Linked DNA regions of Sus scrofa. The protein of the gene in region 2 purifies or fractionates together with the protein of the main gene of each other region. This does not show direct contact. Links are inferred from orthologs where the notes say so. Each region holds a gene or a part of one and is shown on either strand. Other genes may lie near its edges. The genes, in order: PSME2, PSMD6 and RAD23B.

The links.
Region 1: the proteins of PSMD6 (region 2) and PSME2 purify together in Homo sapiens (affinity purification with western blotting; 3 studies listed by BioGRID and IntAct, with this or other methods). This does not show direct contact. The link is inferred for Sus scrofa from reciprocal best matches to the Homo sapiens genes PSMD6 and PSME2.
Region 3: the proteins of PSMD6 (region 2) and RAD23B purify together in Homo sapiens (affinity purification with mass spectrometry; 3 studies listed by BioGRID and IntAct, with this or other methods). This does not show direct contact. The link is inferred for Sus scrofa from reciprocal best matches to the Homo sapiens genes PSMD6 and RAD23B.

The regions. Positions count from the first base shown.
Region 1 is NC_010449.5:75,149,595-75,160,685, forward strand, and holds PSME2 (proteasome activator complex subunit 2), read left to right. Parts: upstream 1-4,975; 5' UTR 4,976-5,054; coding exon 5,055-5,102; intron 5,103-5,409; coding exon 5,410-5,442; intron 5,443-5,869; coding exon of another isoform or gene 5,870-5,932; intron 5,933-6,177; coding exon 6,178-6,264; intron 6,265-6,368; coding exon 6,369-6,399; intron 6,400-6,487; coding exon 6,488-6,585; intron 6,586-7,158; coding exon 7,159-7,227; intron 7,228-7,382; coding exon 7,383-7,450; intron 7,451-7,614; coding exon 7,615-7,669; intron 7,670-7,973; coding exon 7,974-8,060; intron 8,061-8,149; coding exon 8,150-8,230; 3' UTR 8,231-8,277; downstream 8,278-11,091. Other genes in the region: EMC9 (ER membrane protein complex subunit 9), read left to right, coding at 9,833-10,030, 10,169-10,245. UniProt on the Homo sapiens protein: Implicated in immunoproteasome assembly and required for efficient antigen processing. The PA28 activator complex enhances the generation of class I binding peptides by altering the cleavage pattern of the proteasome.
Region 2 is NC_010455.5:45,502,518-45,511,743, reverse strand, and holds the end of PSMD6 (26S proteasome non-ATPase regulatory subunit 6), read left to right. Parts: exon of another isoform or gene 1-161; intron 162-753; coding exon 754-922; intron 923-1,818; exon of another isoform or gene 1,819-4,974; coding exon 4,975-5,052; exon of another isoform or gene 5,053-5,199; coding exon 5,200-5,296; 3' UTR 5,297-5,410; downstream 5,411-9,226.
Region 3 is NC_010443.5:248,443,985-248,455,127, forward strand, and holds the start of RAD23B (UV excision repair protein RAD23 homolog B), read left to right. Parts: upstream 1-4,006; 5' UTR 4,007-4,631; coding exon 4,632-4,697; intron 4,698-11,143. UniProt on the Homo sapiens protein: Multiubiquitin chain receptor involved in modulation of proteasomal degradation. Binds to polyubiquitin chains.

The DNA.
Region 1 (11,091 bases), on a different chromosome or scaffold from region 2:
GTGAGAGGCTCTGAGATCCACAGCCTCTCAGCCCCGCCTGATCTCCAGCCCAGCTGCTACTACCTTCCTCCGCCGGGCCCTCACACACTCTTCCACAGCCTCATCCAGATTGCCGTGACGATCCAGCCAGGCTTTCCGGGCCTCCTGACAGGAAAAGACACCCAGCCCCGGGTCTTGCTGTCCAGCCAGCTCGGCCACCATCTCCAGCACGTAGGGTAGCTCTGAGTGCAGCCACTGCAGGGGCACCTCGGTGCCCGAGTACTGCAGAGCTGAGAAGACCTCTTCTGGACTAGCTCCTCCAGCTTCTCCTTCCTAAGGCACAGACAGAGGAGCCATCAGGAGGGGCGCCTGCCCACCCTCAGCTGGAACCAAAATGCTGACGGTACTTGAGTTCAGACTCTAGAGCAGGAGCAGTGCACAGCATGATAGCCATCATGGGAGAGGTGTTCAATAAGAGACAGCTGCTGCTCATAATGACAGGTTTTATGAGAACTTGCATCAATCAACTGCAGCCCCTCCCCTCCCTCACTAGCTCAGCCCAGGCCCAAATCCTCACCCGGATCTTGATCACCAGCTGGAGACCTTCCTCTCGCATCTTGTCTTGGCGCTGCTTCTCAAGGTCCCCACAGGAACTGGGGAGGGGGCCACTGAGGCGGCGTACAGGCCCTGCTTCAGGGAGTCGCTCTTCCAAAGAGCTGGCATGGGGCCGAGGGCTGTGCTTTACTGGGATGGGGCTGCTGGTCCGGTTGCACATGGCACACACCCAGCCAGGGCCCGAGTTGCAGAAGGTACAGTGAATACAGTACCACACGGGAGTCTGGGCAGAGGAGAGCAAAGTCTGCCCCTGCTGGGAAGGCAGAAAGAATTATTCCATTGAAGTCTGGCTAAGGCTCAAGACAGAAATACAGGAAGCTGGGGGGAAGATACCGGGTAACTAAAGGAAAACAGGGGATGAAAAAGTAGACAATGGCCTGTGGTAACGGGTGTAAATAAATAGCTGGGAAAGCCAGGAACAGGTTACCTGAAGGGGCTGCAGGCAAATGCCGGAATCCTGAGAATCCACCACCAAGCTAGGAGGCTGAGCCAGCCGAGGTCGCTCACATATGGCACATAGCACAGCTGCTGCCTCGTTTTCAAAGGTGCAGCTCTGGCAGGCCCAGTGACCCCGTGCAAGCTCAGGTTCTAGGCCCCCAGCTCCTTGGGGGCCGTCAACCCCCAGCCCCAACCCCTTACAGCCGCGGGGCCGATCACAGGCCACACATAGTACTGCCCAAGGTTCATTTAGCATGGCACAGGCAGAACAGTGCCAGGGCAGACAGGCACTTGCAGGATCAGGGGAAGAAAGAGAGCTGTCCCCCAGGGCCAGCAGGGAGGCTGACTGAGGCCGTGGTGGAGCCGAGGCAGGTAAGCTGTAATGGAAAAGCAGACGTGGCCTGCTGAGGGGGGCCCACCTGTGGCCTGGGCCCCTTACCCATGGGCATCCCTCATTCCCTGCAGTACAACACATGGCTCTGGCCTTTGCACGTGTTCTCACTGTCTGGAACACTCCCCTACCCACAGCCTGTTTAACATTTAAAAGACACCTTAAAGTTCATATCTGGCTGCAAATATTCCTAACATAGGGTCTGATCCCTCCTAAGTGCTTAAAACACTGCCCACTGACTGAGGTGATCCTTCTGACTGGGCTGCATTCTCCATAATAATCTACTTGCATACCATAATAATCTATCTTGCTGTGACTGCTACTTGCTTGTTATGTATGTCTACGATCTTCTGGAGGGCAGTAACTGGCTGTTTGCCCTCTATGAAACAGTCTTTAGCATAGGATCCAGCACACAGTCAAATAATTTTTTTTCTTTTAGGGCTGCACCCATGGCAAATGGAGGTTCCTAGGCTAGGGGTTTAATCAGAGCTGCAGCTGCCAGCCTACGCCACAGCAATGCCAGATCCGAGTTGTGTTTGCGACCTACACCACAGCTGATGGCAACTCGGGATCCTTAACCCACTGAGCGAGGCCAGAGATCGAACCTGTGTCCTCATAGATACTAGCCAGATTCATTTCTGCTGAGCCATGATGGGAACTCCAATAGTCAAGTAATTTTAAGTTTCCTCAATTTTGCTCCCACACAGAAGAGAAAGCCTCTCACCTGGGGGTCAGGTGGGTAGCCTGGGGGACCCCTGGCAAGGTCTGGCGGAGGTGATGTGCTCGGTCTGGGTGTCCATGGAAGAGACAATCGCAAGTTGGGCACAAGGCCTGTTTACAGGATGAGCAGTGCAGTGTGCCTGGAGCAGAACCGCAGAGGAAGCAGGGACCAGGTGTGGAGCCTGGAGGTCAAGAAAGAAAGAAAACAACTCGGAGTTCTCGCTGTGGCACAGTGGGTTAAGAACATGACTGCAGTGGCTCAGGTTGCTGTGGAGGTGCAAGTTCAATCCCTGGCCTGGGGCAGCAGGTTAGATCTGGTGTGGCTGCATCTGTGCCATGGCTCACAGCTGTAGCTCAGATTCAATCCCTGGCCTGGGGATGTCCATAGGTTGCAGGTGCAGCCATTTAAAAAAAAAAAAAAAGAAAGAAAGAAAAAAAAAGAAAAAAAAGGGAATGGAACACCCTTCTGAAAAAGACCAGGTTACACCTGACTCTACGGGGGGACAAATCACAGACTACTTTTCAGCATATCTTTTCAACCCAAGGAAACTATAATCTCTTTCTAAAAAGAAAGGAAGAAGATAGAGAACCAAGAAAATAGAGGAAACTTCCATCAGTATGATCTACTAGCACTCCCTCCCCCCAGTTGAGGACAGTAATACCTGGGGCAGAGGGTGTGGTGAGGGGGCCAGGAGCAATCTGTCTCAGTAAGGGGGCAAACTCTGAGAGCTGCAATATCTGAGGAAAAATGGCAGGGAATGAGCAAGGGCTTGGGGATACAGGCCCACAGGAGGTCCCCTTTGTTCACCCAGGGCCCCATTCCTGCCTTCCTTACATCATCTTCAACCTTGTCTTTCAGCAGCTGCTCCAGTGCTTGAGGTTTTGGATGAGTATTCTGCAGACGAGATAAGAAGAGTTTCCACCTACAGCCCCAGAGCAAGGCCCTCCCTCAAAGCCTTGACCCCCCAACATTTACAAGGTGAAAAGTACAAGGAGTTCCCAAGTCACTATGGGGACTATGCCCATGGTTCAGCAGCATGGGGGTCCCCAGACTATCTTTGTTGTTAGGCTGGGCTCACCAGCCCTGGTGCTTAATTTAAGTACTCGGGACTAAAGATACCTCACCTGTAACAGAAGACTGAGCTCTGTCCGGAGCAGCAGTACTTCCAGTGTGACTGTGGCAACTTGGTGCTCATCTGGTTCCTCCTGCCCCTCAGGGAAGCTTAATCCATCTGGCTGCTCCTCTGTGTAGCCATATAATCGCAGAACATCCCGGCCCCCCTGCCACACATTCAAACTAGTCAGGGCCAGCAGGCCCCCTTCCCAATAGGGCTGGACCTCTCCCCATTCAGCACAGCCTCAGGGCCTTTCTAGCCAACCCCCAGCCCAGGTTAAGTCCCCTTCCCCCATAAGGGGCCCAGAGGCTTCACCTGCACAGCATCCACCGTACTGCGAAAGACAGGGTTATTAAACTTGACCCCGCGCCAGTACCGGGGCCGCTGAGGACTGAGAAGGTTGCGGCCATATTTCTCCAGGATGTTCAGGGCCGTGGAGAGGGTGCTGAGGTAGTTTCGGGGCTGAGAGCAGTCAGAGAGCAGAGAGCTGTGAGCCCCGACCGGACCTCTGCTCCCCTGTCCCCCTCCTAGGCGGGGCTGGGCCTCACCTCCCCATGAGCGTTGCAGCGGACCAGGCGTGCAGCGTTCAGCTGCAAGTAGCGGGCTGCTGGCGGCAGAGAGGTGACCAGTAGTGGCCGAAGCTGCTCCACCGAAAACGCCTGCCCGGAATCCCTCCTCAGGGCGTTCGCCAGCTCCTCGCGGGCCTCCAGGAAGGCTCGCTCCTCCTCCTCCCTAGGCATCCTAAGACAGGAGTCTGCCCCAGTCCGCTGCCCGCCGGAACCCAGAGCAGGTTGGGCGCGGCCCGAGAGCCGCCCCGAGCACCTGGGGTCTGGCTTCGCGGAGCGACACGGTCGGCACGGGAACCCTAAGTCACTCAGGCCACGGTCACTCTTGGGCCTCGGGCCCCACGCCAGGATTAGCGGGAACAGGAAGTACTAGGGAAGAGGGCGGGATTGCGACCCAGTTTCAGGGGAAGGGGAGGGGTTTAAACTTAAGGAGGGGCGGGGCCCAGGAGACCGGGGCGTGGCCAACAAGCCTCAGCCAATGAGAATGGTAAATAGTCACTGGCTCCTCCCTCAGAGCTTCTAGGCTTTAAACCTTGTTCTAGCGCTCTTCCCTACCTTGGTCCAGTCCGGTGCCAACCCCTGTGTATAGCCCCAGGTTCGGTGTTATTTTATTTCCCTCAAAGCCCTTCTCTCTACCCGAACCCCACAGGGGAAATCCCACTCAGGAACTCAACTCTGCCAGCCTGAACCCTACACAAGTCCCTTTTCCAGTCGGTCTTGAAGACAGGGCGTCCTCCGGGAGGAAGACCCGCCTGTTCCCTTCCATATCCTGCTATCCCTTCTCCCGCCTACTACTTCTCCTACCCGACTCTGATCTCTCTCAGGCCCCTCCCCTCAGTCGAGCCTTCCTAGGGGAGCCCCACCACTAAACACCCCCTTTCCCACTCTTCCACCCTCTCACCCCAAACCTGGACATCCCCTTGATGTTCTTCCCCCCCATAAGCCCCGCCCCTTCTCCAAGGGACAGCCCCTGTTCAGTCTCCGCGGTCCAACTTGTCCTAGCCCCTCCCCTGGACAGCCCCTGGGCTTGTGACCAAGTCAGCACCGCCTCTCCTAGTCGCACAGGCCGAGAATGGCAGAGGGGCTCCCAACAGTTTGCTGCCTTCCAGGGGGAGGGGGAAAAGAAGGAAGGGGGCGGGGTTGAGGGGGGCGGGCCTGGACGTGGGGAGTGAAAGCGAAAGCCCAGGCTGCGAGCGGGGAGACCGGAGATCTAGCAGCAACTGGAGCAGCATGGCCAAGCCTTGTGGGGTGCGCCTGAGCGGGGAAGCCCGCAAACAGGTATGGGGAACCGGGAGGCCAGGAAGGGTCCAAAAGCCCTCCCGAATGGAAGCCAAACTGGGTGCTCCAGGGGACCAAGGCCGTGCCAGAGAAATCCCCCAACCTCCCTAAGTGCTTTCACTTCTGTCCCGAGAGTCCCAGATTCCTGCCCTCTGAGCAGTCTCTACCTTGGGCAGGGGCTTCCAGGGAAATGTGGCTTGTAGTGGGAAAGGCCTGAGCCAAGTTGGAGGGCATCCTGTTGGGGGTGGGGTCTTACTGTGGGCAAGTGAGACCCTTAACCAACATCCGGGTACTGCTCTCTCTGCAGGTGGATGTCTTCAGGCAAAATCTTTTCCAGGAGGTAAGTCTTCTGGATTCAAGTGATTTGACGCAGAATCTCAGACCAATTCCTGAGCATTGCAACTTCCCAGACCCCTAAACCCACCCTCGACCCAGGCCCTACTTCCCTTATCAACCTTCACCCAAGATAAGCTCCTAGTTACTAATCTCTTCTTTTACTTTGACCCCTCTTAATACCTTCCCCACTTATGCCACTTCCTCTCCCATCTTTCGGTGTGAAGGGAAAAGCTGTAGCCCCAAAGCGGGAATACCACAGTTCTAACCTTGGTTCTACCACTTCCCAGCTTGCTCCCTTCACTTTTCAGGGATTCAGTTTCCTCATTTGTAAGTATTGGATTCAAAGATTTCCAAGGGCCCTTCCAGTCCCACTCCTCAGACTTCTCACTGAGTGTCTTCTGTGATTCTTACCCTTGAAACATAACCCGCAGGCTGAGGAATTCCTCTACAGATTTTTGCCTCAGAAAATCATATACCTGAGTCAGCTCTTGCAAGTGAGTAGAGTGAACCTCTTCTGTCCCAACCCATGGCCCCTCTCCTCTCCATCCACTCTCTCTAGCTAACAGCTGGGCTCCAACTGCAGAGAAGAGTTGCGAGTAGTGGACTGGGAACATTAGGATAGTGCCAAGCCTCAGCCTAGGTTGGGAGGAGGAGGGTGGGTACGATGTGTGTGGGGGAAGGCTGTGACTCAGGAGGACGGGAAGAGGCTGGGCAGTCCCTGACAGTGAGCTCTGTGCAGGAGGACTCCCTCAACGTGACCGACCTCACTTCTCTCCGGGCCCCGCTGGACATCCCCATCCCAGACCCCCCACCCAAGGATGATGAGGTGAGGCACTTAGGGCATAGGGCTTGGGCTATAAATCCACTGTACATAATGGTCTGCCAACCTCCATGACTTTTCTAAAGTTTCTTCCCCCCTTTTCTCCTTAGATGGAAACAGATAAGCAGGAGAAGAAAGAAGGTAAGAGGGGAAGGGGGGAGGTTAGGGAAAGAGAAATGGCACACTGATTGCTGGATGTGAAGGGATCTAAATCTCCTCTTTCTCACAGTCCCTAAGTGTGGCTTTCTCCCTGGGAACGAGAAGATCCTGGCCTTGCTTGGCCTGGTTAAGCCAGAAGTCTGGACTCTCAAAGAAAAATGCATTCTGGTAAGCTTGGGAAACTGGGGGACATAGAAAGAGAAGACAAGCAAGGCCATGCCTTGATCTCCTTCAGAGTTCCAAGTCCTTCCTTTAGGAACCTATTCTCAAAATAGGGAGCTTCCTTCTGTGCCTTGTGTTTAGATAACTTTTGCTCTCCTTGTTCTGCTAGACCTCTGATATTACAGTGGTACCCTCTAAATCAAACTGTGTTGCATCCCCCTCCATAACCTCAGAACCTACTGCTGTAGCAGGTACACAGTGCAGGTGCTCTGATACAGTGAGTTGGTTTAAGAGCTTGGACCCTAGAGGGAGACTGCCTTCATTCGAATCCTGACTCTATCACTTACCTAATTGGTTACCTTAAGTAAGTCACTTAGACATTCTGTGACTCAGCATTTTCATCTGTTTAAATGGGTACAAGCCTGAAAGGTTGCCGTGAAGATTAAATGAGATATATAATACATAGCACAGTGCCTGTCAAATAATAAGTACTCAGTTAAATGTAGCTATTTTTAGGAAGTAACCGTACTAAGAACAGAATTTTGTTGAATGATTCTTACATGATAGCTCTTATTGTAGGTGATCACATGGATCCAGCACCTGATCCCCAAAATTGAGGATGGAAATGACTTTGGGGTGGCAGTCCAGGTGAGAAAGGGTCTGTGAGGATGCTGAGAGCAGGAAGAGTCTTGGGGAGTAAGGGATAGAGACTAGATATGAACTGCGAGGAGGAGGTAGACAGTGAGTGAAAAAGGGACAAGATGAAGTGTTTTCTTTGCCTCCCATCTCTTTTGTCACCACAGGAAAAGGTGCTGGAGAGGGTAAATGCAGTCAAGACCAAAGTAGAAGCCTTCCAGACCACCATTTCCAAGTGAGGGCAGCTGGAGGGCCAGCACAGGGGTCTGCAAGGACATTCTGTGGGGACTCCCAAAGCGGGACATGCCCATCGGGATAATGGGGGGCCTTGGGAAGGGTCTGAGGGACTATCTCTCTCTGAACACCCACTCCTATGGTTACTCCCCTTGCTTTCGGCAGGTACTTCTCAGAACGTGGGGATGCTGTGGCCAAGGCCTCCAAGGAGACCCATGTAGTGAGTGGATAGTCCACCAGCCTGTTATTGGAGACTGGCTGGGGGTGGGATGAGGAAGAGGGCACAATGGTCCTCCTTGTTTTGTCTGTGACCTTCCCAATGTGGAGAATATTAAGCCAAAACCATTGCCCCAAACTTGGGCTTCAAAAACTTTACCTCCTTTCTCTGCTGGATCTTGTGGGATCCCATTTCCTGGTGCTGAGAAGGGGCTCATTCCTCAAGTTACCTATTCCCTATATGAGGAAACCAGATGAATGTCCCAACCTCCCATGGGGCTGACTCAGCTTTGCCTCCCACATCCCAGATGGATTACCGGGCCCTGGTGCACGAACGAGATGAGGCAGCCCATGGGGAGCTCAGGGCCATGGTGCTGGACCTGAGGGCCTTCTATGTGAGTCTGGAGTAAGCCCCTAAGGGAGGTGGATGAGGGGGCAAAGGAAAGGCCAGGAACCTGACTGTTGCCCTCTGGCTTTCTTCCAGGCTGAGCTTTACCATATTATCAGCAGCAACCTGGAGAAAATTGTCAACCCAAAGGGTGAAGAAAAGCCATCAATGTACTGAGCCCAGGGTTGTAAGGGAAATAAATGACCTGTACTTTGTGTGGATCACCTCTGGTGTGTGTCATTTATTCAGAAAGCAAAGTGGGAGTTCCCGTCATGGCTCAGTGGTTAACGAATCCAACTAAGAACCATGAGGTTGTGAGTTCAATCGCTGGCCTCGCTCAGTGGGTTAAGGATCCGGGGTTGCCTGTGAGCTGTGGTGTAGGTTGCAGACATGGCTCAGATCCCGCATTGCAGTGGCTCTGGTGTAGGCCGACGGCTACAATGCCAATTGGACCCCTAGCCTGGGAACCTCCATGTGCCGTGGGTGCGGTCCTAAAAGAACAAAAAGACGAATAAAAAAAGAAAGCAAAGTGTCACCTCTGTCCAGCTACTAAATGTGAATGCGATGATGGGAAAGGGAGGGGTGCCAGGAAGACAGAGATGAGTTAAGAGGTCCATCCTGTTCTTAAGAAGTTATCCTAAATAACAGTTACATGGCCTGACAGCCATGAAGATAATCTGTATTTGGGGATTTCACAAGATTTTTTCCATGTGGAAGGTCTCATGAGTTCTTCCTGAAAGAGGCGGCATTTGGGCAGAACCTTATAGGAATAATCAGACTTTGGACAGATAGAGGGAAAGCTCTGCGGCTGAGATCAGGGAATGAAGAAAGAAACCACCCTTGCCATCAGCTCAGAGCAAGCCTGAAGAGAGAATGAGGCTTCCCCGGGGAAAATTATGCTTGGGTTCCTTCTCAAGAGCTGGGAGGGGAAAAAAACGCTCCCAAAACATTTTGGCTTAAGGAAATTATACCACAGGACATTATCGGAAGGATGGGTCTATAAAAATCTTTTTGACCTTTACCCCCGCTTGCAGTCAAAGCCGTTTTTATTTCTGTAGATATTACACTGAGGAAACCAACGGCCCGATAACCTGTGATTGCAAAAGTAACATGGCTCATTAGTTAGTGGCAGAGCCGCCCTAGAGCACAAACCCATTCATTCTATAGTAGGAGTCAGGCGTCCCCTGTGTACTCACATTGGTTCGAAGTTCCACGGTTCCAAAGACACCCGACGCGGGACGCGGGCTCCACCCAGCTGGGCCTGTAGGGGCGGGCGGCAGAGATAACAGACGCAGTCATCCTGCAATCCGGAGCCGAAGTGGGGTAGCCTAGCCAATCAGCTTGAGGGAAGCTCTCTACCGTTGTGGGTTCTTTTTCAGCCGCCGGAGACAAAGGCGGGGCAAGATTGGATGCGGTTGGTGATTGGGCAAAACGAGACACTCTAAACCTATCAAAGATCATTACGTGGGCGGGACTCCAGAAGCTGGTCAGGCTTGGAGGCGCAGGTTCCGTGTCCCCGAGGCAAGCTCTTCTCTGTGGCCGCCACTTGGGGGCGGGGGGAGGCGGAGCTCGGTGCTGCAGCATGCAATCCAGGCCGCCCGCCTTCCGGGCCAGGTGGGGGCCGGTCGCCAGGCTGAGATCGGCGGGAGCCGGTGGGCTGTCTTTGAGCTGGGTCAGCGCCACTGTCGAACCTAAGTGAGGAGGCACGGGGAAGGGCCCAAGAGGGCCCTCGGGCGTTGGAGGGGGCTTCGCGGACGAGAGCTGGGGGCCCCGCTCGCCATGGGGGAGGTGGAGATCTCCGCCCGGGCCTACGTGAAGATGTGTCTGCACGCCGCCCGCTACCCGCATGCCGCTGTCAACGGGCTATTGCTGGCGCCCGCGCCGCGGTCGGGAGAATGCCTGTGCCTCACCGACTGTGTCCCCCTGTTCCACAGCCACCTGGCCTTGTCTGTCATGCTGGAGGTCGCCCTCAACCAGGTGCCGCCGCTGGACGCCCACCTACCACCCTAACCAGCCCCTAACAGCCCTAAGCCCATCCCTGGCCTCTTGGCAATAGTGCGCACCCACGGGGCGGGCGGTACGATTTAGTTACTGATGGTCCCTTTCCCATGGCAGGTGGATGTGTGGGGCGCGCAGGCCGGGCTGGTAGTGGCAGGGTACTACCATGCCAATGCAGCTTTGGACGACCAGAGGTGAGTGCCAGAGGCAGAAGGCTAAGGGTTATGGGGTGGGGGAGTCAAGAGAACCCTTCTTAGTCATTCTCTCCATTTTTCCTTCATCAAAAGCTTAGGAGTAGGCACTGTACATCAGGCACTAGGCTGGTACTGCAGTGAGGAAATGTAAGGAAACATGTTTCCCTGGGGGTGGGGAGGACAACTACGTTTCAGTAAGAACAGGCTGACACCTGCTTTAACTGAGATGCACCCCCCCCACAAGTGCTGAAAAAACACAAAGGAAACCCAAGCAGCAACTTTTTAAAAAAGAAAGTTTTTTTATATATACAGTTGATCATTGAACAAGATGGGTTTGAGCTGCCTGCGGACCTTAATAGGTGAAACAGTTGGTTGAATACCCATGCAGAATCTGTAATGGAGGGACCACTATAAAGTTACCTGCAGATTTTCAACTGCAGGAGGGTCTCTGCTCCTAACCCCTTCGTTGTTCACCAGTCAGCTGTATGTAGAAAAAGTTATCTACTTACATAGTACTCATGTATCTGGATCAACTGATACTGTTTTGTAATTTGCTTTTTCCTCCTTAATAAATATCTGACACCTTTCCATCATTACACTATTATCTACCTTACCGTAACAGCTATACAGCATCAGTATGGATGTACCATAACTTTTTTTTTTTTTTTTTTTTGTCTTTTTGTGTTTTTCTTGAGCCGCTCCCTCGGCATATGGAGGTTCCCAGGCTAGGGGTCGAATTGGAGCTGTAGTCACCAGTCTACACACCAGAACAACAGCAACGCGAGATCCGAGCCGCATCTGCAACCTACACCACAGCTCACGGCAACGCCAGATCCTTTTACCCAC
Region 2 (9,226 bases):
CATGGATGTTGGTGATTACCAAATTCACGTCTCCAGCCCCAGACATGCCCGGGAGTACCAGACCCCATGCCTAAACATCTCCTTGATGGCTTCACATGGATGTCTCATAGGATAGTCCACCGGAACACTGCCAAAGTGTAATATTTGAATCCCTCCCTCTCCTGCAAATATAGAAACAAATCTCAGAAACAAAAGTTTTCTTTCTCCAGGGGTTTTTATCTTGTTCAAGCCAGAAAACATCTTTTGTCTTGGTTACCTTCTTTATCCCCATAGCTGTCTAGTGCTACATTCTGAATCTGTCCTCTATTCTTGAGCTAGGCCTGGTCTTCCTGCCTTGAATCTTTGCATCACTCTAAGCATCCTCATCTCTACATGGCTGGTTCTGCAGAGGAGCCTTCCCTGTCCACCCCAATCCAGGGGAAGGCTTCCTGACCAGTCTCTATCACAATTTTATTTTCTTCACAGAACTATTCCCAGATAGTATCTTATTTGTTCATTTATCTTTGCTCTTTGAAAATTTAGTGGCTGTGGTGGCAGGGATCTTGTCTTTTGGTTTCCTGCCATATCCTCATGATTCAAGAGTGGTGATATATAGTACTTGGTAAAATAATTTGGACTTGTGTGCATTGTGTGCATAATAGTCTGTGTACCTTTTGTAGACCAAGGCTTTTAATTCTTATGTATCTGCCCTCCAGCTCACCTGTTTATTGAAAGGGATATTCTTATAATAATTTATCATCTTTTAAATTGCAGCTGTTGTGGAACAGGAAATGAAAAAGGACTGGCTTTTTGCTCCTCATTATCGATACTATGTAAGAGAAATGAGGATTCATGCCTACAGCCAGCTGCTGGAATCATACAGGTCATTAACCCTTGGCTACATGGCAGAAGCCTTTGGTGTTGGTGTGGAGTTCATTGATCAGTAAGTTTCAGTAACGTCGTGTTAATTTTTACACTTAGATTTAATGTGTGAACTTGTACATTTTCTCCGTTTACATTGCTGTCTTCAATTAAAGGCACTCTTAAGAATTTTTCTTTAAATATTATCAAAACAATTGTATTTTTGTTTTCATGATTTGCTTCTACTTTGCTACTACAGTAGCAGAGATGGAACAGAGGCTACTTTTGCCAACAACCAGAGCAGAAGTCATCTCTGGTGCATCTTTGTGATCCATGCTACTACTATAGTAATGCCCCTTAGCTCTCTATCTTGTATTTCATATTAGGTCTTATTTTCTCTGACAGTGCCTTCAATTTTTTGGTTGCTGCTGCAATTCTAAGCAAGCTGATTGTTAAAAATGGAACTCTCCGACTGTGAATCAGTGATTCATTACATAGGTAGTAAGCCGTTACTATATGGTTGGCATGTTTCAGGTCTCTTGTCTTCACAGAGTTTCATTCTAGTTATGGGGAAAGTAGACAAGGAAGCAAGTGTTTAAGTCATTTCACACAGAAGTGAGTTTGCAGAGATAGCAGAATGGCACAGAGACATTCGTAGCTGCAGCATAGTGGTCTCAGGGGTAGAGGGGTGGCTGAGGGAGAGTCAGGTAGGTGAGTGTTTGTGTAGGACCCGGCGGGTCGTGGTGTGGAGCCTGAGTTTTAATCTAGGTGCCCTGGGAAGCCACTGGAGGATTTTAAGCCTGGGGGTACCATGATTTCATAGTGTCTTACATGGCCAAGGGGACAGGGACACCGGATGGGCTATTCAGTAGCCCTTGGAGATGTTCTGGCGTCTTGGACTATGATAGTGGGTGTTGAGTTGGGGAGAAGTACATTCAGAAGAGAAGCTGTTCAGATGGTATCTAGACAAGTCATTCCCAAACAATGGATGTTGTATCCAGTGGCCCACAATGAAAAAAGTGGTGGCTAGAGAGGAGTTTTTAATGAAATTGCATTTCATTTTGAAACACCATGCTCCTTTAGACATTTTTCTCTAATATTTTATTCTGAAAAATTTCAAACATGCAGAAAAATTGTAAAGAATTATACATATATCCTTGATTCTATAATTAACATTTTGTTAAAGTTGCTTTATCACTTATCCATCCTATTTATAACTACTTCAGAGTAACTTTCAGACACCAGTACATTTCATCCTGCCACACTGAGCATGCTTATCAATATTTATTTATGGGTTGGTTTTAAGGCAATATTTACATTTAGCAAAATGCCCAGTTCTTAGGTATACCCAAACTATCGGGCAAGAAATTGCTTCATTCTCTTTCTTTGGAAGAAAAAAGGTAGTGATGGTGGTTTCTATTTATTAGCCATACCGAAATAGAAGGTTAGTATTCTTAGGTTGGTTTCATCTTATTTGATTTCTGAATTGAAGTAGTCTGTGAAAATAAGTTTGGTGACCACTGGATAGAGTGGAGGACTGTAGAAATGGGTTTTTCATGCAGGGGTGTAATGAGTGGCTTACCATGGTGAACAACACCAGAAAAATAGGGGCTGGTCTGGCTTCTTACTGCAACTCTGCAGCCCTAGTCAGGTTCATCCCTTCCTCACTTTCTTAGCTGTGCTGTGTGGTGCTGAAGCCTTGACCACTTGGGGCAGATTGAAGCTCTGCTGAAATTGTGGATAAAAATGAACTGAAGCAGGAGGTATCTGTTAGAGAGGCCGCAGTATTCATTTATGTCATTGTGATGACACTGGAAATGATGGTTTATGATACATTTCAGGTGGTATTTGAAATGTTACAGTTTTTTTTCTTGCATGTTCTCAGACCAGCTGTAGGGGTGGAGGTTATGAGTACACACTGAGCATTAGTTGTTTTTTACCTAAAAAGGGCTTTTAAATTTCTGGTATTCCTGATTCCTTTCTGGGTTTTCATGGATTCTTTTTCTTCCTTTATAAAATGATTTAAGGTGAGTTTTTTTTTTTTTTTTTAATGGGCTGATTTAATAAGTTTGAACAAGAGTTGTTTATCATTCTTCCACTTCGACTCAGGAAGATATTGTTGGAGAAAAGACTCCCACTTCTGTTGACATGGACTGTATTTTGTGATTTGTTGGTAGGCCTTTTTTTGAAACTTAGGGTGCAGATCTGATTTTTAGATTTTGTTTATTCAGCAAGTACTCCGTTCATTGTAATTGGACACCTGTTTCTAAGGGACCACACTGGGGACCTGGAGAAATACCAGTAGCTGGTGAAGATGAGTCCTCCTGGGATGTGTTTGATTAGCACACAGCAAGATGGGTCTAAAGCAGGGAATGGGACTTGGGTGCCAGTTTAGGGTGTTAGGAGTTAAACTTTGCTGTGGTAACTAGATACGAAACCATATCCAGATTTTTCTTGGTGCATGCACATGGTTCAGAATGAGTAGAACTAGGGATCAGAAAATTTGGACTATCACTGCATACTTAGGATTTTTATAGGCTGTGGTGGGGAAAAAGGACATTGCTGATGGAAGAAATGGCACAGATATATTTTAGGGGGATGTTTGAAAAACCATTACTTGGTTGTACTGGCCTGTGTGGTGGTGTGTACAGGGAGGTCCCCAGGGTTAAGCCTGGAAAGACACCATGGTGCATCTAAAGCAGTGTCTTAAAGGAGTTTAAAACTTTAGAGTCTCTTCTAATAGGCTAGGGAGTAAGTGAAGGGCTGAACTAATCTGGTGAGTCAAGTCCAGTGTTGATCTCTATATCTTGCTCCTAAATGATAAAATAAGATTCTTTGGAGGGTTCTCCCCTGTTCTTAGATAGGGGGTAGGACTGATAAGGTTGATTATATCTATCTGACTGTGTCATTTTCTCTGTGTACTTTAGTCCCAGAATAACAGGTGCAAATGGGTTTAGTAACTGTAGTTTGGAGATACAACTATTTTAAGTACCTGGAAAACAGAAACAATTTTTAATTTTTACTTAAGCCAGTCAATAACATAACTCAAAAACTAATAGTTAAAAGAAGGAATGAACATTGTAGCAATTGCAGCAAATATATTTCTAATGAGGATACAGAAATAAAGCATGCTCTATGAACATGTAACTTACTGTTCTTACTAGTTTAAGATAACCTCTAGCTTAAAATCTTCAATAATATTTAATTTATTAAAGTAGTTATTTGCAATAGTATTTTATTTAAAGGCACGGTGGGACCTTTACACACTGACTGACCAGTGGCAACTACATACTGCAGATATCTTTTATCTACATTTTCATTTAGTTTTGGATATGATCTTGGTTTACTGTTTTCTGTTCTTAACATGGTTTCTGAGATCTGTCATAATTAGGATCCCTAAATACCATTCTGAGCCAACCTTTCCCTGTTGACTTGAAATGGCATCTTTGTTAGGAGTTTGCTTCTTAAGATTTGGAGTTCCTTTTTCTTTGGTGTTTATGTGCTAGGATCAAGATGTTTTAGGAGAGTAATCTGTCACATAATTTTTATTTGCAATCTGATTTTTCTTGATTAGGAGGATTCCCTTATATTATTCTCTAAATTTAACATAATACATTTTTATTTTAACGGAGTCGACTTTGCATTTATTCTCCTTGGTAGCATTAGAAAATTGTCTTCATATAGCTCTCATACATTTCTAGGTTTTTAACTTTTTGCCCCATGCCACAGTGTGCTAGACAGAGTTTCACACCAGTGCTGTGGTTGAGGTGGATGTGTAACTGTGTTGTTTAGGATTTGGGTTGTGGCTGGAATAGATACTCAGTAATGTATTTTCACATCTACCTCAGAGGAATACATCAGGTTTGAATTCCTAACCCTAATTTATTGGGGCATATTACTTGTCTTAATTTGAAAGCTTGTTTCACTCTATTCTCTGAAGGATTTTGAACATTGAGTTACCTGCTCTTGTAGATGAGATAGTCCTGCAGTATACCAGAGCTCATTTTCTCAAGCAGTACGCAGCAACATGTTATCTTGAAAGACAACTGAGTCATGTGTTTACTGCAGTTTATTTTTCCAAGAGTCTCTATAAGACTAATGCTAAAGGCTTTTTTTTCCTTCTCCCTCAACTAGGGAACTCTCCAGATTTATTGCTGCTGGGAGGCTACACTGCAAAATAGATAAAGTGAATGAAATAGTGGAAACTAACAGGTATTCTTGCTTGTGTATCATTTGTAATACTCCTCAGAATAAAGGACGTTGTTAAAAGAAGGCATTCTTTTATAAGTAGGTCAACTATTGTTATGAAGTAATGTGACTGGTAAATAATTCATTTTTTTTTCTTGAATTTATTTATAGACCTGATAGCAAGAACTGGCAGTACCAAGAAACTATCAAGAAAGGAGATCTGCTATTAAACAGAGTTCAGAAACTTTCCAGAGTAATTAACATGTAAAACCACGTTCACAAAGAATTTCCTTTAGAGTAATTATTTGGAATTTTTATAGCTTACTTTACTATGTGCCCAGTTCAGCTGTATAAAATAAATACTGCATTGTTGTTTCTTTCAGTTTACTTTTCTCTTAAGCATATATATACCCTAGTAATGTTAAAATTATGTCACTTTTCTGTCATTTGAACATCTCTGCTTTATGATACAATGCTTATAGAGACTACAGTACTACAGCTTAAATCCTGACCCTGCCTCTTCAGTGTAATAGGCTAAGACAAGCCTATTGTTTCTTACCTTTAAACAGAAGATGGAGGTCCATGGTGGCTCAGTGGGTTAAGGATCCAGCATTGTCACTGCTGAGATCCCTGGCCTAGAAACTTCCATGTGCCTTGGGTAAAAAAAGAAGAGAAAAATGCTACAGAGTAGAAGCCCATAATTAAAAACAGTGCTTAGTACTTAAAAGGTGAGAAATGAAATGTATCAGAAGCTTTCCCTCAGAAATAAGTACCTATAAAAGACTGGAAGTTACTCCTTTTTAGAAGGATACCATAACCTAAGACTCTAGAATCTGCCAAAGCCAATCTTACTAAATATAGCTTTTTAAAAAAACCTATATAGATATTGGCAAAGGGAATCTTTTTCCCAATTATAAATGTGGTCAGATTGGGACAGCTGCTATGAAAAAAGAAATACAAAGCTGGATATAGGTGACAAAGTGATACAGGGTGTGAAGAGCTCTGTATCAGTGTCACAGAAGGCCTTTCTGGTAAGGAGATATTTAAATAAAAAGGAGGGTGAGATCATGCAGAAAATTATCTAGGGGAGGAAAGAGAAAAGTCCCTGGAGGTTGGCAGCAGAGGAATGGCCTGATTTTAAGTGTCATCATGGACCTGAGCTGGATAGGCGTTGGATAACGGTGGAATGAACCCTAGAGGCAGCTGGATTTGCTGGAGGAGGATCCCAGGCTTGCTGAATGGTCATCCTGGCAAGAGCAGTCTGGCTCGAGCTGAATTAAAAAGAAATGGGAGGAGGCATTTTACTGTAAAAGGAAAGGGAGAGAAGCATGAGGTTTTGATGCTTTTTTAGAGAGCAGGTTCACATGCTGATGGCAGTGTTTCGTTACACATTAGAGGAGAAAACACATGATCTCAGTGGATCTGTAATTTGTCAAATTGGAGACATTCAGCATTCATTTGTTTCAAACTTAAGTAAATACAAGTAATAACAGGATAGGAAATCAAAGCCCTCTTACAAATGTCATCCGTAACGGCAAAGTATGAGAAGCATTGCCTTAAATATCAAGATATTGGCGATCATCAATTTTGTACTCAAAGAGGAGCCACTGACTGCTCCTCTGCAGGTGCTGTGGGGTGGGTCAGAGGCTATTAAAATGCTGGATGGATTTGTAAAAATGTAATTTCAAAACCTGATTGAGAGTTCCCATCATGGCTCAGTGGTAATGAACCTGGCTAGTATCCACGAGGATGGGATTTGATCCCTGGCCTCGCTTAGTGGGTTAAGGATCTGGCGTTGCCATGAGCTATGGGTGTAGGTTGCAGACGTGGCTCAGATCCCGTGTTGCTGTGGCTGTGGTTTAGGCCGATGGCTACAACTCCATCCCGACCCCTAGCCTGGGAACTTCCATATGCTAGGGGTACAGCCCTAAAAAGACAAATAAACAAACCTTATGAACCATAATCACTGTAATTTCTTGAAGACACTGGGGATATAAGTATTTTTTAACAAAACATACAACCCTGAAAATCAGTGCTATCTGTTAAATCCAACATATGGTCATTAAGAACTTACGGTGTTCCTTCTGCCCAATTAAAAATTAGTAGGATTCTGTTTTTGGCAAGTTCTCTCATTGCAGTTCATGCTAGAGGGGAAAAGCAGGATTGAAATGCCAGTTTCTTGAAATAACCCTTTTCCTCAAGTCCCACCTATAGAACCATCTGGGCTGAGGTGATCATACCAGAGCCATGGCTTTTCAGTCCAGAGTTACATGGACTGTTGGCCTGGAGGAGAGCGAAATCACAGACACCTTAGTTTTCCCCCTTCCTGGCTTAAAATGTACTTGATTTTCTTTTTTGCCATTTTAGCACCACCTCCACCACCACCCCAATCAGTAGATGAGGATGGCAGGTAAGAGATGCCGAAAGAAACAAGAGATACTATTCATTCCCAGAGCAAGATAGGGAAACCAAAAACTCCAAGACTGCAGATAAAGATCTGCCTTATCTTGTTTATTCATCATTACCTTATGATGAAATAAACAATACAATTCTGAGGTGAGAGAGTTTTTCCTTTTATCTGAAAAATAACATGCTCATGCTCTTTTTTTAATGAGGCCATACTGTATAGGAGGAACAGCAGTGGATACTGCAGCTAGGAAAAGCAAATTCTGATCCCAGCTCTCCTCAAACTAGCCACCTGATACTGGGAGAAATGACCTCTTTCAGCCCATTTCCTCACCTGTAAACCCAAGGAGAAAATCAGGCTGATTAGGAGGTTTCTTTATATGAACACACTGCAAGTTGTAAAGCAGTATATACTAAAACATGTATTTCTTAGTACAGTAGTATGAATGTTGGTAGAAAACTATTGTTACATAAAATTAATATTGGGCCATCAAAACCACATTTTATACAAGAGACCAAGAATTTTTAGAATTTTTTTTTTAATTTAATCTCATTGAGTTTATGTTTTTCCACTTGTGTTTGGTATATAGTAAGACTACTTAGAATGCTAATTTCAAAGTTTGGTTCTCTGCTTTTTGACCAGGTAGTTTTTTAGGTCCAGGCCTTTATTTCTTGCAGTTGAGATTATAAGACTCAGGAAACCAAAGCATGGAGGCTTCCTGATACTACCAAGTTGCAAACTGATCACTTACGGGCTGCAACTATTGCCCACCCACATTTTTTTAAGGAAAAAATTTGATTGCCATTCAAAAATTAAAAGGCAATTCAAAAATCACCAACTGTCTAGCTTCTCTGGAAAAATGGGCAGATCAGGTTAATTCTGGGCTCACATTTCCAGTCCAGCCAAATGGCTAGCAGGTCTCCTCCAGCAGGGTCCTGTTCACCAGACCTGCCCTGTTACCTTCCACTATCCGCCCCACCAGCATTTGGGTTTACTCTCTGGTGCTACCCTGACATGTACATCTGGGGTAATGGGCAACAGCCTCCATTAACCACCCAGGGAAATTCATCCAGATCATTAAGGTCTTGACTTCATTTTCTGGTTTTGGTCTGGTTTTCATATCATGATAACCCTTTCAGGTTATCACGATATGAAAATAAGTTTGTCAAATAAGTTTTATATGCTAAGTGATCAAGTGTTAAAACACTTTGTGTTTAAGTCTCTTCAATATTGGTAAATGTTTTTATCAAAATTGGAAACTCATCACTTTTATCAATCCTAGTCTTACCCATAATACACTATCCAAGTATGAAATTAAGTCACTGGCATGAACAATTTTGAGACTACTTTTTAAGGCAATAATGCCAATTTCTTAATAAGGTTTAATTATGTATCACATTTATCCAGTGAGATAAATATTTATAAGCATGTCAAATTTTGGTAATGTTTCCTTTATAAGAGAATAGCTTTAGATCAATTTTTTAGAATACAAATACTGGAGTTCCTGTTGTGGCTCAGTGGTTAACAAATCCAACTAGGAACCATGAGGTTTTGGTTCGATCCCTGGCCTTGCTCAGTGGGTTAAGGATCCAGCGTTGCTGTGAGCTGTGGTGTAGGCCGGCAGCTACAGTTCCGATTAGATCCCTAGCCTGGGAACCTCCATATGCCACGGGTGCGGCCCTAGAAAAGGCAAAAAGACCCCCCCAAAAAAAAGGAATACAAATTGTCTAAGACCCTTTTTGTTATTAAATATTTGCAACTAACTTTGACCTAACCTAATGGCTAAAAGGA
Region 3 (11,143 bases), on a different chromosome or scaffold from region 2:
CACAAAGAGGAATACATTCCGTATCTTCACTCTCCTCCCTCACTCCTATCTCCTCCAGGACTCCCCAGGAAGCCAACTGCGTAGTCCACACAGGGAAGCCTTCATGAGACCAACTGCTGGGTGGTGAAGCGGTAAGAAAGAAGATAGGGAGGGGAATCAAAGATACCTAGCACATTCTCTGTAGCAACTCTATTTCTTCTGAGCGCTACTGATCTTCGTAGGCTTTAAAAAATAGCACTTATTAGCAACCCATATATAAAGAGCTTTGATTTTTAGTTTATTATTTGTATGTCTATTATCTCACTGGAATATACACTCTATGAGGGCAGGGACTATGTTCCCTACTGTATCCTCAGCACCCAGAACAGTCCCTGGAGTGGAGAGGGTCTCAAAAACTATTTGATGAATGCATGTCTTGAAGTCTGCCATTTTTACCCTGGTATTTTCTAAGTCAGCACTTGCTGCCCTTCTGCTTGCTCATCTTCTTCCCTGAAATCATTTGACTGATTTCCAAAAATGCAAGCAAAATTCTCTGGCTTGATAGCAAATATTTGGAATCAACAACTCCCTCCCATCTTTTAGTCTTGGCCCAAAAGCTCCTGAAGAAGCCCAAGGCTTATCCTACAGAGCCTTGCTCATAACCAACCTTACCCCAGTGGCCATTGTGTTGGGGGGTTGAGGGAGTCCTAACATCTGTCATGTGAACTGTGGGATTCTGGGCAAAGGCACTTACATTAGACAAGGAGGCATACAGCCCATAGAACATATACTATTGAACCAAGAAAATAAAAAATAGTAATTGTGGAGTTCCCACTGTGGCTCAACAGGTTAAGAACCAGACATAGTCTCCATGAGGATATGGGTTCAATCCCTGACTTCACTCAGTGGGTTAAGGATCTGGCGTTGCTATAACCTGTGGCCTAGGTTACAGATATGGCTGGGATCTGGTGTTGCTGTGGCTGTGGATGTGGACCTGCAGCTGCAGCTCTGATTCAACCCCTAGGCAGGGAACTTCCATATGCCATAGGTGTGGCCATAAAAAAAGAAAATATTTAATAATACTTTCAGTTAGATCCAAGAAAAAATCTAAACCAGGGCACCGTTGTAGCTATCTTGAAGAGTTCTCTGGGGCTTAAATGAGATTATCCATGGAAAGGGCCTACAATGGTGACTTACCTAGCACTAGAGTAAAGGGTTAATGTATATTTACTATATACTGTTAATGTTGTTGGAGCAACATGGATGGATCTAAAGCTTATCATACTAAGAAAAGTAAATGAGAGAAAGACAAATATCATACAATATTACTTATATGTGGAATCTAATTAAAAATGATACAAATGAACTTATTTACAAAACAAACTCACAGATCGCAAAAACAAATTTACGGTTACCAAATAGGAAACATGGGGGGAGGGATAAATTAGGAGTTTGGGATTAATATATACATACTACTATATATAAATGACCAACAAGGACCTACTGAATAGCACAGGGAACTTTACTTAATAATCCACATGGGAAAAGAATCTGACAAAGAATGGATATGTGCATATATATAATTGAATCATTTTGCTGTATGCTTGAAATTGACACAACATTATAAATCAACTATACTCCAATAATTTTTTTAAAAAGTTGTGGAAGAAGTCCTCTCTGAGGAAGGAAAACATGACTGGGGCCCTGAATAATGAAAAGGAGTTAGTGGTTTAAAGATTTGAGAAGGCAGTTTCAAGCTGAAGTAACCTCTACTGCAAAGGCCCAGAGACTAGAACCATCTTGGCCTGTTCAAGGGATGAAAGGAAGGTGGGATGACAGGGAATGAGAGAGAGAGAGAAGAGATGAGGCCAAAGGGTTTGGCAAGAGTCAGATCATGTGAGCTCCCCTAGGCCAGGTAAAGAATTCAAATTTTATTCTCAGAGTATAATTAGGTATTAGGAATAGATGCGACATGCTTTGATTTATATTTGAAAAAAGACCACTCTGACTGCTGGAGAGGTTCAAAGTGTAGAAGTGGGGAGGCCAGTTGGGAGGCAGGTGGAAGATAACAATGGATTAACCTAGGGTTGTGGAAGTAGAAATGGTGAGAAATGGTTGATCTGGGGATATAATTTGGAGAATAAAGTTGACAGGACTTGATAATGGATTAGATGTGGTGGTCAGGGGTGGTAGGAGGAAAGGAAGGAAGAAATTTATCAGGGATGATGACTAGATTTTTGGTCTGAGCACCTGGGTGGATGGTGGTGCCATGAATTAGGAAGGGGTAAAACTGGGAGAGATTTCAGGGGGGGAAGGGAGGTCCAGAAGGAATCAATGGTGCTGCTTGGCCGTGTCAAGTTTCGGAGGTTTATTATATTTCTTCTTTTTTTAATGGCCACACCTGCAGCATATGGAAGTTCCTGGGCCATGGGCTGAATCTGAGCAACTGTGCCCTATGCCACACCTGCAGCAACTGCCAGATCCTTTAACCCACTGCGCTGGGCTGGGGATAGAACCCATACCTCTTCAGCAATCCAAGCTGCTATAGCCACAGCTGCTGTGCCACAGCAAGAACTCCATTATATTTCAAGTAAAGATATTACGTAGGCAATTGGCTAATTCTATCTATAGCTAAAGGTCCAGGCTGGAAGTATTTCAAAACAAAGGACGTGATGAGATCACCTGGTGATTAACAGTAGATATACAGGAAGACGGAAAGCCAAGGTTTAGATATGGAATTATAACACAGGGAGATACGTGTTGTGAAGGGGGCAGTGGGACAGCTGAAGGAGAGGGAAGTTGATCAGGCAAAGTTCCATGGAAGAATTATACCTGAGCTCTTACAATCTACAGAAAACCAATCAATGACATTGTATCAGTGAAGATGCTGCTCCAGAGAGGTCCTTTGCAATTAGTCACACAGCTAGTGACTTAATTGTAACTTTACACTTGAACTACTTTAAGTCAAATATGCAAGATGGCACTTTATTAAGAGGCAGAACAGCCAGGCACTTAGGAGCCCAGGGTCTGGAGTCATTCGGCTTGGGTTCAAATTCTGGACCCGCCACTCACCAGGTGGGTGATTCCGGGTACTACACTTAAGTTTTCTTATCTGTAAATGGGCATACTACAAATAGCTATCTCTTTATGAACTGCTTACTATGTTCCTGCCACTAAGATTTTTACTGTATACATTGTTCAACACCTCTTCTCCAATAATCAATGAAACTGAGTGCTGTTATTACTCTCAGCTTACTGATGAGAAACAGAAAGCATATTTACCCATTCCACACATATTTACTGTGTGCCTACATTACATGCCAGGCATGTTTCTTCGTGCTGGGGGTACATCAGGCAATATAACAATACCCTTGCCCTTGTGCAGCTTGTCTGTGTTTACAGAAGAGAGAAAGATAATAAATCTAATAAATATTACATTTATGGTAATTAGAAGATAAATGCTATAGAAAAAAAACAAAACAAAACAAAACACACAGCAGGGTAATGTGGTTAGGGAAATTGCGGTTTACGTTGAGTATCCACAGCAGACCTCCCCGAGAAGGGAGAGACAGTGAGCCACCCAGGTACCTGGGGAAAGAAGACTTAGGGACGGAAACAGCGAGCGAAAAGGCAGGCCCTCAGCTGAGTGCATCTGCCATGAGAGTCAGGATATATGCGAGGAAGTGGCTGTGTATCCAGTCCTAAGAACTTTTACTTTGGGTGCGATGAGTACCCACTGGACAGTTCTGCCCAGGGAAGTGATATAATTTGACCTTGTATTTAGCCCCAAGGTCCATCAAGGCAGTCTGGTGCTGAAGTCAGCGCTCTCAGGATAATAGAATCAGTGGCCACACAGCAAGCGCCCAGTAAACGCCGGCTCACTACTGTGGCTGTTTCATTTAAACCCCGCCCTGACCTACCGCCCTCTAGTTGCCCAGCTCCAGGGCTCTGCATCCACTTAGTCCGGTCTCCACGTAGCGCTTCCTCGGCTACAGATTGCCCAACTCAAGCTACCGGGCGGAGTCTGGACGTAGGCGGAGCGGCGGAGGGCGGGAGAACGCCCCCGGCAGCCGACGCGACAGGGAAGCCCCGAGAGCCCCCGAGGCGCCCCACTGACTACGCCTGCGCACGCGCGATCCAGGACGCCGACATTCCAGAGCCGTAATCCGCCCCGCCCCAATTCCGGGGCGGAGTTCTCGGCTGCGCCTGCGCACAGGCTCGCCGCACCCTACGCCTGCGCGCTCCGACAGTGCGGCCCCATCCCCCAGGTTTTTCGGGTGGGGGAGGGGGCGCGTCTCGGCGAGTCACGATGATGGCGGCCACCAGTCTGTGGTGAGCTAGCGGGTTCTCTGCTGGTTTCGCATAGCCCCTTGAACCTCCTGTAGACCTTGAGGCTGGCGCCAGGCGTGTGAAGAAGCACTGCAGCCCGAGCTCGCGAGGAAAGCCGCAGTCGCGGAGGCAGCGGCGCGGCCCAGGACCAGGGCTGGGGGAGAGGCCGCTCTGCAGGGCGAATGTGACAAGCCCCCACCCCCACCGCCTTCCTCCCGAGTGCGCGAGGAGCGCGGGCGACCCCAGGGCCCCGCCAGGCCACAGACCCCGCCCAGCGGCCAGCACCCGGAGCAGGCCCGGCAGCGGAGCTGCGCGGCGGCACCATGCAGATCACCCTGAAGACCCTCCAGCAGCAGACCTTCAAGATCGACATCGACCCCGAGGAGACGGTGAGAGCAGCGGGGAGCGCGGGGCCCGGGACGCGGCAGCTGCGCGAGTGGCCAGCCAGGCCTAGGCGGAGGTCGGCGCTGCGAGGCCTTTCGTGGGGTCCCGGCCTATATCAGAGCGGGGCCCGGCGGCGCGCCCGAGCTGGGAGGGTCCCCGGTGTACTCGAGAGGGCGCGGTGAACGGGGGTTCGGGCCCCCGACGCTGGCTGAGGCCTGCGGGCCCGGGCGCGGGCAGGGCCCCGGGGCCCTGCGGCGTGTGGCCGACCGGACCTTGGGAGTTGGCTCTGGGCTTTGTGTCAGGAGTAAGGGGAAGCAGTGGCCGAAACTGAAGCCCTGGCGGCGTGGAGCACATGCCTGCAGGGCACCGGAGGCTTGGGCCTGGGCCCTCCCGGCAGAGGGGCTTGAGGGGGAGGGAAGCTTAGGGCTGCTTCAGCGGTCTAGCCGAGCTCCCTGGTGTGGATGCACAGGTGGGGGAGGGAGATTTAGGTGTCGCCACTATTTCTGCGTGGATCTGGTTAGGCGCTAAGGTCTAGGAGGTGCAGACCGGCGATAATTAACCTTAAAAAAAAAGTGTCAGGTTCCGTTTGCCGCAGAGCGAGAGGTGAGTGGTGAAAATGCATTCTTTGCCCCCTTCCCCGCAGAATTGGGGGCGCTTTTATTTGCATATATTTTGAGTCGTTTCGCTGCAGGTCTCCCGCCATCGAACCCACACCCACATGTAGATTGCACTTTGAGGCCTCTTTGGTGGTGAAGATAGTTGTATTAGAGCCCTTCAAATCCAGGTTCGAACTCAGCTCTAGATTAACCAGTCCCCTCTGTTAGAAGTCTTGAATTTGTAGGAGTTGGAACTCTGCACCCTCCCCCAACCCACAAATAGCATTTCAGGAGAGGAAAAAGGAAGATAAAAACTTTGATTCTCTTCTGTAAACTCTTGAACATCTCAAAAGTTCACGTGTTAAAAACTCTCCTGTCATCGTCTGTATTTGTGACTGCAGAAAGCCACTGTGTTGAAATCAGTACGACTTTATGCCAAGATCTAAAAATGCCGTTCAGTGTAAACTTAGTACTTATGTTCTGGAATTGTGATTATATACATCGCTATGATTGTCATAATGCTGTGTTTAAAGCAACAACTTTCTGCCTATCTATATTTTTAAGAATAGTTGATTGTGGTTTTGGTGGCGATTAGGGGTCTTGGTGTTAATTAAGAAAACCTGAGCTCCCATTTGTCGCTCTAATTTATTTGCTATATGCAAAGATGTGAAGATTAAATAGTATTTGATTGGTGGTCAGTGAGTGAAATTTTATTAATCAATGGATAACTTTAAGAGGATAGAGTGTTACGTTTTATCTATATCATTTGACCTTAAGTTTTTACATCTTTAAATATTTAAATAGTGTAGTTCTCAACCTTTTCAGAATTGTGGCTAATTTTAGTTCAAGATATTTAATTACATGTATAAGTATGCTGTGTGATAAATTCTTAAATGTGCAGAGAGATAGCAATTTTAGATGAGAAATGCATTGTCCTCAGAAGTAATTAGAAACTCCCTGTGGATTGCTGTGACTAACAAATCAAATCTTCCTGAATATTCCTTTACTATTTAGTGTGTACTTATACATTAAAGGATGAAAGTTAAAAAGCGGCTATAACTTGAAGAGGCTGGTATAGAAACTCTTGTGAGCTTGATAGGAGCAGTAGCGAAAAGTAGTGAAAGAGAGGCCCGAGAGATTTGAGGAATCCTGGGAATGATTAATTTGCTGAACTAGTAAGTGTCCAGTGAGCTTTGACTGGCAGAACTGGGGTACAGGGACATGCAGGCTGAGGTCTGGGTCTTCCTGGGAGCCATACTGACAATAGTCTTAGTTTGGTCAGTGGCTATAGAGTAGGAGATGGACAAATTGGAAAAAACAAGAGGATTTGTTTTTAAGGTGTTTGTTTGTATTTGCTTTAGTTTTTGAATGTTGAAAGTCTTCTTCTGCCTTTTTTTTTTAAAAACTAGAGAACTTTCCTAACATTTATTTGCTGTTTTGTAACATTTACTTGATCATTACCATGCTCTGCCTTTAGTGTTAACCATTACAAAACAGACTTTATTATTATGGTAATGGTAATGCCTTTCTTCTTAGAAAATAATGAGGGAAAAAAACCAATAGAAAGTTTGAGATGAGATTTTTAAATGCACAAACTGAAATGGGAGTTTATTATTGTATAAATGACATCAAAGTTATGCGTGGACGTTTTTTGATAAGAGAATTGTGAGGATACAGTAGTTTTAATTAATACAGACAGTACGTTTTGTGTATTATACAGTAATTTGCAAAGAATTACCTCATTCTGTGGTTTATTTGTATCATGGTGATTGTGCTATAAAATACCAGTTGAGTACTGGTTCTGTGCATGGGATTTGTTAGCCATCATTTATTAGCAAATTGTTCCTATTGTGGCTTATTGTTTTTTTGGGTTTTTTTTTTTTTTTTTTTGTCTTTTTTGCCATTCCTTGGGCCGCTCCCGCGGCATATGGAGGTTCCCAGGCTAGGGGTCTAATCGGAGCTATAGCCATTGGCCTACGCCAGACCCACAGCAACGCGGGATCCGAGCCACGTCTTCGACCTACACCACAGCTCACAGCAGTGCCGGATCCTTAACCCACTGAGCAAGGCCAGGGTTCGAACCTGCAACCTCATGTTTCCTAGTCAGATTCGTTAACCACTGCGCCACCACGGGAACTCCGGCTTATTGTATTTTAATATAGTTGGGCTGGAGATAGTGCCAAATTATAGAAGTGCCCTAGATTATTAAAACACTAAGTAATAAATGTATTGAAACATTGTATTACAGAGGTGAAATTTAAGGTTTCTTGGCATATTGATGAAACAAAATACTAGAAGTATCTGGGGAATCTGGTACAGTTTGTGCCAGACTTTTGTTTTTTCTATACTCGGCACACAGCAGGCACTTACTTTATTTTTATTTATTTTCAGCTTAATTTTTTTCTTTCTTTTCTTTTTAGGGTTGCACCTATGGCATATGGAAGTTTCCAGACTAGGGGTCGAATTGGAGATGCAGCTGCTGGCCTACGCCACAGCCACACCAGATCTAAGCCTCATCTGCAGTCTACACCACAGCTCACGGCAATGCCGGATTCTTAACCCACTGAACAAGGCCAGGGATTGAACCCGCATCCTCATTTTCAGGGTCATTACTGTTGAGCCGCAACGGGAACGCCTCTGAATTATTTTTAGTATAATATTACTTAGTTGTACACAGCTATGCAATCAGATGTAAGGTCCTTATGCTATAACTCTTATACCAAATATAAGAAATGGATATTTTTTAAAAAATTTATTTATATTGGAGTATAAGTTGATTTTATAAATTGAGTGTTAAGTGTTGTGTTAGTTTCAAATGTACAACAAAGTGATTCAGTTATACCTAAACATGTATTTCAGATTCTTTTCCCATATAGGTTATTACACAATGTTGAGTAGATTTCCATGTGCTGTACAGTAGGTCCTTATTGATTATTTTATATATAATAGTGTGTATATGTCAACTCCAAATTCCTAATTTATCCTTACACATGCATTTAATAAAGATTTCTTGGGAGTGCTTGTCATGGCTCAGCGGTAACAAATCTGACTAGGAACGATGAGATTTCAGATTCAGTCCCTGGCCTCGCTCAGTGGGTTAAGGTTCCGGCATTGCCTTGAGCTGTGGTGTAGGTTGCAGATGCAGCTCAGATCTGGCGTGGCTACAGCTCTGATTCAGCCCCTATCCTGGAAACCTCCATATGCCCCAGGGTGCCACCCTAAAAAAGCAAAAAATAAAATAAAATAAGTTAAAAAAAAAAAGATCTTTTGAATGAATTAAATACATTCTCTTGGTGAATTGTCAAGTCAGTAATCCCTCAGTATTTGCATGTTGATTCATTTGTTTAGTGTTAAATATTTCCTAAAAATGTCAAGTCTTGCTGTCTTGGTACATGCACTATAGTGGACTAAATCAGTTGAAAAACAAATTTTAAAAACGAAGTAATGGTAAGAGTTATGTAGGAATCGAAATAGGGTTGAGGTAATGTGATAGTGCATGACTGCGTGGCTACTTAATGACTGGTCACAGAAGGTCTTTCTAAATAAGGTGACATTTAAACTGAGATTTTGAATAATAATAAGCACTCAGAGAAAGGGAAAGTGTTTTCTATAGGGAAAGACCTTTAAGAGTGTATTTTGGGAATCAGAAAAGGCCTTTTGTTGATCTGGTAGGTGAGGGGGAGGAGAGGTAAGAGATTAGAGAGTTAGGCAAGGGGCCAGGGCCTGTAGAGTTTTGTAAATAAGCTGGGAGTTTTCAAGGTAAAATAGGAAGCCTTTGGGGCCTTTAAGTGGAGGAGAAAAATTGTTTCTTTTATGATTTGAAAAGGTTACTTTGACTCTTTTGGAAGTTTGATGACCAGTTAGGAGGCTTGTTGTGGTAGTCTTAAAAGAGTTGAAACTTGGAGGAGGGAACTAGGAGTGAGAATGCGAAGAGAGGTGAAAGGATTTGAGATATAGTTGAGAAGGTTGAGTTGAAAAAATCTTTTTTTATTATTATAGTTGATTTACAGCATTGTGCCAATTTCTGCTGTATAGCAAAGTGACTCAGTTATACATATATATATACATTATTTTCTATATTCTTTTCCTTCATGGTCTATCCCAGGAGATTAGATATAGTTTCCTGTGCTGTTCAGTAGGACCTTGTTGTTTTGAGATAATTTTTTGATGAGGTGGAGTGGGGAAAATTGAGAAATCAAAGATTAAATATGGATTTTGGTTGTATAGTTTGTGTGAGATGTGGAGGGGTGGGAAAGGGGCAGGTTAGGGGTTGGGGGTAGGAACTGAAGACTTAAATTTAAGGTGCCTATTAAACGTTCTAGTCGAATGACAAGGAAATTTGTTATGAATTTCACTTCCAGAGAGAAATTTGGGCTGGAGCTAGAGACATGACAATAGGTAGCATATATGTTTTAGCTCAATTCATGGGACTGGATGAGGTCATCTAGCAGTCTTTTTCAATGACCATTCCTTGAGAAAATTGAACACTTAGGCCTAAATTATCCCCTATATGTAATTAACTTCTGTGATACTAGAATTGAGGAACCTTGGTGAAAATGTAATGGAGTGGGGCTTAGGGCCGAAAGCTGGGATGCTCTAGCATGTGGAGTTTGAATAGTGAAAAGGTCAGCCAAGGAGCAGTATTTGAGGTAGGAAGAATCCAAGAGAAGAAAAATGTTTCAAAGACAAAGAAAGGGAAATATGTGTCTACTGAGAAATCAAAAGTAAGATACACATAGGCAACAGGACTTTTGTTTTTGGCAACTTGGAGGTGATTAGTTACCCTGATGAGTACGCTCTGTGGAGTGTTGGTGCCACAAGTTAGATTTGTTGTGAGCCACACGGGAAGTCCAACCACAAGTTAGATTTGGATGGATTGAACAGTGAATGGGAGATGAGAGAGATAAGTAGCTGTGGCTGTAAAATGTTAATTATTTTGTGTTTTTTTTAAATTTTTATTATACTTGATTTACAGTGTTCTGTCAGTTTCTGCTGTACAGCAGAGTGACCCAGTTACACATATGTGTACATTCTTTTTCTCACATTATCCTCTGTCATGTTCTATCACAAGTGATTAAATTTAGTTCCTGTGCTGTACAGCAGGATCTCATTGCTTATCTTTGATATTATCCTTTTTTTCTGATGTAGCTGCGTTTAGCTGTGGGTTAAAAACATGTGAAAATGATCACAATAATTCTGAGCTTCACAACATGTGGTAGGCATTGTCCAAAACACACACACACACCAGAATTGTGGAAAATATTTAATAGTGTATGTTTTTAAAAAGAAGAAAGCTGGAGTTCCCGTTGTGGTTCAGCGGTTAATGAACCTGACTAGCATCCATGAGGAGGTGGGTTCAATCCCTGGCCTCTCTTAGTGGGCTAAGGATTGGGCTTTGCCCTGAGCTGTGGTGTAGGTCGCAGATATGGCTTGGATCCTGCATTGCTGTGGCTGTGGTGTAGGCTGGCAGCTACAGCTCCAGTTTGACCCCTAGACGGGGAACCTCCATATGCCAAGTGCGTGGCCCTAAAAAGACAAAAAAGAAGAAGAAAGCATGGTTAGTAACTTGCCTGGGGTCACATGGTCATTGACTGCAGTAGTTTCAATTTCTGAGCGTGAGACGGTCTAGCCCATGCTCTAACCCTCTATTTCTTAATCTCTCACCCAGTAGTGACTTTGCCTCTACTCTACATCAATTATTCAGACCCATACCTAGTAACTAGTTCTTGTCACAACCAGTAACTATATCTCTTCCCCCACCATCCACAGTAATCTGTTTGTAGTATCCCATTTTACTTATTCTATTCCATTCCGTTCTTCTTTTAGGCCACACATGCAGCATGTGGATGTTCCTG